Schizosaccharomyces pombe: one gene and its partner. The protein of the gene in region 2 interacts with the protein of the main gene of each other region in a biochemical or structural test. Each region holds a gene or a part of one and is shown on either strand. Other genes may lie near its edges.

Region 1 (3,757 bases), on a different chromosome or scaffold from region 2:
ACAACTATTAGATGCCTCCCAATGTTCGTTTTCTTACTAAAATTTATCATCCAAACGTTGATAAATTAGGTCGCATATGTTTATCTACGTTAAAAAGTATGTTAAACTTCACACGTTTCATCTTATTTTGGTGTACTAACATTAATAAATCAGAGGATTGGAGTCCTGCTTTACAAATTCGAACCGTGCTACTTTCGATACAGGCATTAATGGGTGCTCCCAACCCAGATGACCCTTTAGACAATGATGTTGCAAAGATTTGGAAAGAAAATGAGCCACAGGCAATTGCAAATGCCCGTGAATGGACGAAAAAGTATGCAGTTTGATTACTTATGATAGTCCAATGCTTATGGTTATCACTAGAATAATAATATATTACGATATCAATAGCTTTCTATATACAGTCTTTGATTTGAATTCTACCCATTTCCTTAAGTTTTTTGCATTCAATTTTTTCCTAAGCGGTTAAGGTCTTTTCGAATAAAAGATGTAAAAATTAATAATAGATAATTATGGTAGCAGAATACAAACATCGCAGCTTTTGACGGACGATGAAAAAAGTGATATCTCGACGAGCACAATTAATTTAAGATATAGTGCTATTCATATAACAAGGAAGTATTAAAGTTTAAGCAAAATCCATAGTTATTATTGTTAATCTTGCAAAGCTTTCATTAATCTAGCAGAAAATAATTTTCCTTGTTCTTTCGTAAAGATAATTTCCTCCAACAAATAGTCTGGTAAATGTTTCATAAGCTCCTCATCAGTTTGAACATTCAGACGTGGAGTAAATGTAAAGTTTTGATCATCTAACAAGAGCTGATATTCGAGTGCTATAATAATATCCTGTTAGCTTGAAATTATTTCTAAATCCCTTAAAGCACTTACTCCCTCTCCTTCCAGTGTTTTTACAGTTGAAACGATATCCATCCTCGTCCTCTATACAGTCTGCAACTTCTAATCCGAAAAGCTCCTTTATAAGTATATTAATTTTTGAATAGTTTTTTATTTGCTCTCGAGTTTTCAATAACTCATTCTTTAACGAATGGTTAGCTTTCTTTTCATTTTCTAGTTCTTTTTTTAAATCTTTGACTATTGTGTCTTCTTGAATGTAAGTAAAAAATTCAGAAATAGGCCTTAGTCTTACCATCAGCGTCAGCGCCAGCATTGGTAACAGGTTTTGCCAAATCTTCAAGTAAATAAAATTCTTGTAGTTCATTAATTTTTCGTATCAGCTTGTTCAGTTCATTGAATTCCTGCTCTTGGGTGTGCGAAAGAGTAGATAACTCTACGTTAGGGAGTTGCAACTTCTTATTCAACTCTGACATCCCGGAATTATTGATATGAAGTTCATTTTCGTTCTCCCTTACACTATATGCATCTTGATCTTCATTATTAACAAAATCCTGAGTTGAATGCATTTGTCCTTGAGAGATGCGTGTACGCTGTTTTGGTAATTTATGAATAAGCTTGGACGATTTTCCTTTAGCTTTGATATGTCAGCTTAATCTACACAGAATAAATATACCTTGTTCTTTTAGTTCACTATCTTTAGATGTTTGCATATTATTTTTTCTCATACTTTGTGGTGGATAGTGTTAACATTAATAATTGATCCTGGTGTGCAAATACATTAAATAAATCTAAAATATATCATAATAACTGTTTTATATTTCTTTCAATATAGTCCTTGAAGCCACTTTATTTTGACCGTCTTAGACGGTGGATTCTTTGGATTAAGCAGAAATTATGCAGTTAGCTTGATTCCAAATACAAGTTGCATTATTGCCTACTAATTTAATATTTTTAACAGATGAGCTACCAAGTCTTTCATAGTAAAATCATGTTTCTTTAATTCTTCTCTGTCATAGATTTCCGATTACACCTCCGCCTATCTCACCATATTTCTCCCACTCAATACATTCTCTAGGCTATTATATATCCTTCGATCCTGTTGCTTAACCTGCAAAGAAACTAAATTAAATATCTTCATTTTATTTTCTAAATGGGATGAATTGTAGACGAAAACCTCTTCCTTTACACTCGAACGAAGTTCAAGCTGCAGAGTCTATAAGTAAAGATGAGCTCTATAGGTTTGTTATTTCATTACTTTTCATTTTAATTAACCAACGTATTTAGCTGGACTTTAAAGAATGTGTTAATCCTGTTCTTAGTACAGTATCGTGCATCTACCCCTTCAGCTCTGCAGACATCATCATTTAGTACACCAGTTGAGAAAAAGACCAATGGGGCATTTTCTGGTAGTCTATTTTCTGCCAAAGAAAAAAAAGATAATCCAAAATATCCCAAGGATTTTATAAAATATTTATCGCTTGCCCTTGAGAGTATTAGTATGGGAAAAGAGCCAGAATATCAAGATCAGTTGATCAGAGGATGTTTCGCAGCATTTTACAATAACATAAACAAATCTCATATATCTAAGCAATTAAAAGACTCGAGGAAAATTGAGGATATGTTTTTGATTTTTGCCAGCTCTGTTTCATCTGAACTTACTAAACGTTTGGGAACAGCTTACGATTCAAATTTAGCAGACAGAATTACTGCTTCCTTTATTGAGTTATGCAAAAGAGTCACGCTTAAAGGCCAATTGGCTTCCCCATCATCTGAATTTGTATCCCATCTTGACATGTATCACTCAAAGCTTCTCAACAAAAGTGAAATACTGAGTACAAAACGCGTTAATAGAGGACAAGATCAATTTGACCTTTCATCTTTTCCTTTGTTAAAAGTTTTTTCGTCAGTATTCAAGGTTGCTTATTCAAAAGCATTGTTGGATGCTGAAAAATTATTTCCCTCAATAGATGAGGCCGCCATAGCTGAAGATATTGGCATTTTAATTGAGGATTTAGAAAGTGATGCTTGTAAATTTTCGCATTCGGTGGTCGATTTTTCTAATTATAAATCATACTCCACTTGGAAAGCTCGTGAACTTCAAACACTAGAACAACATCGTAAAATCATGTTAAGTTTGATTCCTCTTTCTTCATCACCAAATCACCCTATTCAACCGATTGGTTTTCCTGCCAGTAGAAAAACGCCGACATACGTGCCGCCAATAGCGCGGCCTTACTTTCGGCAACTTCTATCGCTATGTCTTGAATACAGATTACAAGTTACAGATCCTGTTGAAGTCAAGCAAATAAACACATTTATAAGGGAGTGCTCCATTTACTGGAGAATATTGCCATCCACTCGCTGTGCTTTGAGTATGGATTTTGCACGCGAACATTTACAAAAAGGGTTGATAACTTCAGCAGACGTTTTGACACATTTCGGTGAGCTTCATAAGTCACTCAAAGAATGGGAGATAACATATTGGCCAAAGATCGATGTTTCAATTTTTAGTTCTGCATTGTTTGGAATCAGAAATGCATTAGCTCAACTTTTAAAGAAATCACTTTTAGATTTGTTGCACGAAAAAAAGGCTGATTTTCATCGTTGGTTAAATATAATGAGCATATGTGTTGAAGATGGTAAGGTGATCAATCAAGATTTGTCTCCGAAAAGTGAGATCTCTTCTGTTGCATTGGCTCTCCAAGAGCATTGTAAAGTAATATTTGATGAGGAATTTGATCTTTCGAAATTACCCTCTTCTAATTTTCTTGACGAAATCATATTAGCCAGTAACAGGATATCTGTACGAATTAAATTCTTGGAAAGGAATTGTTCCGAATGTATTTACGGAGTTTTGTCACTTCCACAAATCTTTATAAATATTGTTCTTCCTAATTACATA
Region 2 (3,757 bases):
TCAGTTGGCTATCCCACTTTTTTAAAAGATATGCCAACAATCTTGGCTTCGTAAAGCGGTCAGAATTTGCTGCTTTGCTTTTTTCGCCTCAGGGATCATTCCATAAGTGAACTTAGATATGTTCCTTAAGCATGCTTCCACCTATCCATTGCTAAAATTTTTTAAAATTCTTTAGCTCATGTCCCCACAGTTTCAGTTTGGGTTTGGGATTTCTTGAATTTGTCTCCAATATTGGTGCACCGTTGCGTTTGAGAAGCTGCCTTAATATTTAAATAATGTCCAAGCTTCATAGAAATCGTGGTTTTTTTTTAATTTCATGTATGCGGTTTTGTGTTTGAAAGTTTTACGTTACTATTATGACGGAATTTACCACGTGTATTCTGGTTATCATAAAGCTATTGTTAATTACACGTTACATGTTTCGAAACCTGCGACGATGTCTGCTCTCGCTTTTTAAAATTTAATTATAGAATATAGACTTTAGAGATAAAGCTATTTATTTCTCAAATATTTCAAATTAATTAACTATGAAACCTTTGATAAATTCTAAATATTGGGTGAATAGTAGCAGTTATGTATCGTACATTGAGTGTAGATAGTAATGTGAGTGCGCGCTACTACTATAGGAGTTCCTTTGAAATAACGTATAACATGAATTTTCAAACACAGTCCAGCTGGTTTGCACACCTTCATTATTAGTTAATTAGCAGCAATGGCACGCAAAAAGACATAAAATTAACGTAAAAATAAGTAAAAATTTGGGCATAACAGTATCAGATTAATCCAATTTTAAACTGATTCGTTTGAGGAAGATTTATAGGAAGCTTCTGATAAAAGCCTTAATAAATTCATAGTATCCACATATTTGGAGAAGGACAACAAACTTTTACGATGGGCTATGAAATCCTGGGCAGCAAGGCGACCATATGATGATCGGACTTCAGGTCCAGCGTTAGTCAAAGAATGCAAGGTATGAATATTTTCAGCAAGCATGTCCAGGAGAGTGTGGAATTTTGGTTTCAGCTTACTTATATTAGGAAGTTCTGGTGCATCATCTGGGGGTAATGGAGAGTCCTGTTTATCAAGGTCTTGTTTAGAATCTATGGATTCTACAGCTTTTTTAAAAGATAAAATTGATTTATCTGAACTGACGGAATTAGCAGCAACAGCCCGCCATGCAGCTTCTTCATTATGGAGTTGGGTAAGCTTTGCCGACAGTTCGTCCACTAGCTGAGCATTTTTGAGATTTTGAGGATGAGGTTTATTAGGAATTACAGCATCAGGTGGTCTTTGATACCAACTAACACTAACTTTATTAGCCAATAATTCGTTAAGAACTTCTTGAACTATTGATCTAGCAATAGCTGCCTCACTGGCTTCCTCCGTTTCACCGTATTTTTTTCTTTGCTCTTCTAAGGCCTTTGAAGAAGCCCAAAGGAGAAGTTGTTTGATACGTAAAGGTTCGGATAAGTCTTTGGATATATGGCGATAGTATTCATGCGATGGAACATCTGCATGTGGTAAAGCTTCAAATCCAGTACCAATGCTACTAGCACGCTTACCCCGTTGGTCAAGACTACTCCTTCTTCCTTTACCCTTGCGAAGTTCTTTGTTTCGCTTCACAATTGGTGTATCAGACACGGGTAGCTCAACTAACCCATCGGTTTGGGAGGTATCTGGATCATCCTCCACAGATGATTTCCTTCTTTTAGAACCAGCTTTTTCTTTACCCTTCCTAACGAATACAAATCCTTCCTGCTCTTCAGGCTTTCGTTTCATAATGGATGCTGGTTAGGGTCAAGTCGAGTCAGGATTGCAAAGACTACCTTACTCATTGTTTACACTAGGTAACCTAACAAAGTATAGCGAGCGCGTTATAAGTCGGCCTTACAATTGAGCATTGAAAATTCATCAAAGCAAAGTATATTCATGTAGAGAATAAATAAAAAAATAAATAATGATTAAATTCTTTTTTACTGTTAAGTATTCCTTTCTTTTTGGAGATACACTTGTTACAACTTGGTATAAAATATTTGTTTAATTGCTAGATTATCTTCGAACTTGCAAAAACAAAAATATATATCCTTTTTTCTGCTGTAAAATAATAAGAATAATAATTTTAACATAATCCATTGAATGGTTGGTTAATTCCCCTTATAAATTCATAAGACCTCTTCTTATACTATATCAAGTTTACTGTTTATGTAATATATATATATATATATATATATAATTGAGGAATGCGACATGAAATGCTAAGCTGAAAAGTTATGCAAATTACAAAATGTGGATATTATTACCATTAAAACTGTTTACAGTTTTTGACAAATAGTCAAGATGTCCATGAGCTGCCAGGATTGAGCTTGTACTTTATCATAATTGTTGAAAAATATAGCGACGATAAATAAGATGAATAATCAAATATAAGTATAATGAAAAATATTCGAGTATTCTATATGTACAAAATCTAAATTGTAGTAATTTTCAGACTTAGCTGGTTATTGTTGATTTTAAATCGCTGCATATTATTTACAGAAAGTACCCAATTTTAGATTACATGGCTTTGCAGACAAGCCAGAACTTTAAGGATCCAGTATAGTTTTAAGAATTAAAAGTTTGAATTATCCTACTCTTAAAACACTTCCTATATAAAGTTGTTTCAAAATATTCTGCAGTCAAAAAGGCAACAGTAGTCGGTGTTTAAAGCTCTTTTTAACTTAAGTGAAGTAATAGTTTTCTTATTATAATTATTAATTTATTTGTTTTATTTATTTTAATTAAACATGGAATTTATAACCACAGCATGTCCTGTACAACTTACTTTTCGAGCACTTACTTAGGTTGCCATCATCCTCAAATACGAATTTATTTCGGAATTTTTAAATTCTTTATAATTGAAAAGAATCTTTACTGATTATCTGTTCTTAATCTGTCTCAGTGTATTGCCAAGATCTACGACGATCTGTCTCATCTCTCTTGTATCTTTCCTTTCTACTACATCGAAAGTTAGAGTTAACTGGATTCATTGAAACCAGGGTTTTTTGGAGCCAATTCTAAGTGGTATGTTATGTAATAGTATCCTTTTTGATAATTGTAATTGCTTTTGTTTCTCTGAAATTTTTAATCGATGTTCTATGTTATACTATATAGACCTCATACAGAAGAAGCATATTAAAACGAAATGAAAAGAGATCACACGGATTTTCTTTAAATACTTTGTTATTTTTATACCAAAAGCTAATTGTCTTCAAGTGGAATAGTTTAAACCTTCATTTCTACATCAAGTTCATTTCAAATGGCATTATTAAAAACTTCGTTGGATGCTCCATTCACTAAAATTGCTACCGGCAAAGTCAGAGACCTGTATGAGTGTGTAGAATTTCCCGATGATCTTTTGTTCGTAGCAACAGACAGAATAAGCGCCTATGATTTTATCATGGAGAACGGCATCCCTGAGAAGGGAAAGGTTTTGACAAAAATTTCAGAATTTTGGTTTGATGTTTTAAAACCTCATGTCCAAACTCATTTGATTACTTCTAGGTGGGAAGAATTACCTCCTGTTATCACGAAGCATGAAGAGTTAAAGGATAGATCCATGCTCGTTAAGAAATACAAGATTCTTCCTATCGAAGCTATTGTTCGTGGCTATATCACTGGAAGTGCTTGGAAGGAATATCAAAAGCAAGGGACTGTTCATGGCCTTAACGTACCTACAGGAATGAAAGAGGCAGAGGCCTTCCCTGAACCCCTTTTCACC

The links. The genes of interacting proteins can lie anywhere in the genome.
Region 1: the proteins of mis13 (region 2) and csm1 form a complex in vitro, tested with the Schizosaccharomyces pombe proteins (2 studies listed by BioGRID, with this or other methods).

The regions. Positions count from the first base shown.
Region 1 is NC_003424.3:5,283,953-5,287,709, reverse strand, and holds csm1 (microtubule-site clamp monopolin complex subunit Csm1/Pcs1), read right to left. Parts: upstream 1,601-3,757; 5' UTR 1,581-1,600; coding exon 1,529-1,580; exon of another isoform or gene 1,490-1,528; coding exon 1,148-1,489; intron 1,102-1,147; coding exon 889-1,101; exon of another isoform or gene 834-888; coding exon 655-833; 3' UTR 420-654; downstream 1-419. Other genes in the region: ubiquitin-conjugating enzyme Ubc13, read left to right, coding at 12-96, 154-326; Munc family exocytic/endocytic regulator Ync13, read left to right, coding at 2,011-2,093, 2,140-3,757. UniProt on the Schizosaccharomyces pombe protein: The monopolin-like pcs1/mde4 complex is essential for accurate chromosome segregation during mitosis and meiosis II. May clamp together microtubule binding sites on the same kinetochore, preventing merotelic attachment of microtubules.
Region 2 is NC_003423.3:1,153,823-1,157,579, forward strand, and holds mis13 (MIS12/MIND complex Mis13/Dsn1), read right to left. Parts: upstream 1,800-3,757; 5' UTR 1,780-1,799; coding exon 790-1,779; 3' UTR 482-789; downstream 1-481. Other genes in the region: ade7 (phosphoribosylaminoimidazolesuccinocarboxamide synthase), read left to right, coding at 3,296-3,757. UniProt on the Schizosaccharomyces pombe protein: Acts as a component of the NMS (Ndc80-MIND-Spc7) super complex which has a role in kinetochore function during late meiotic prophase and throughout the mitotic cell cycle.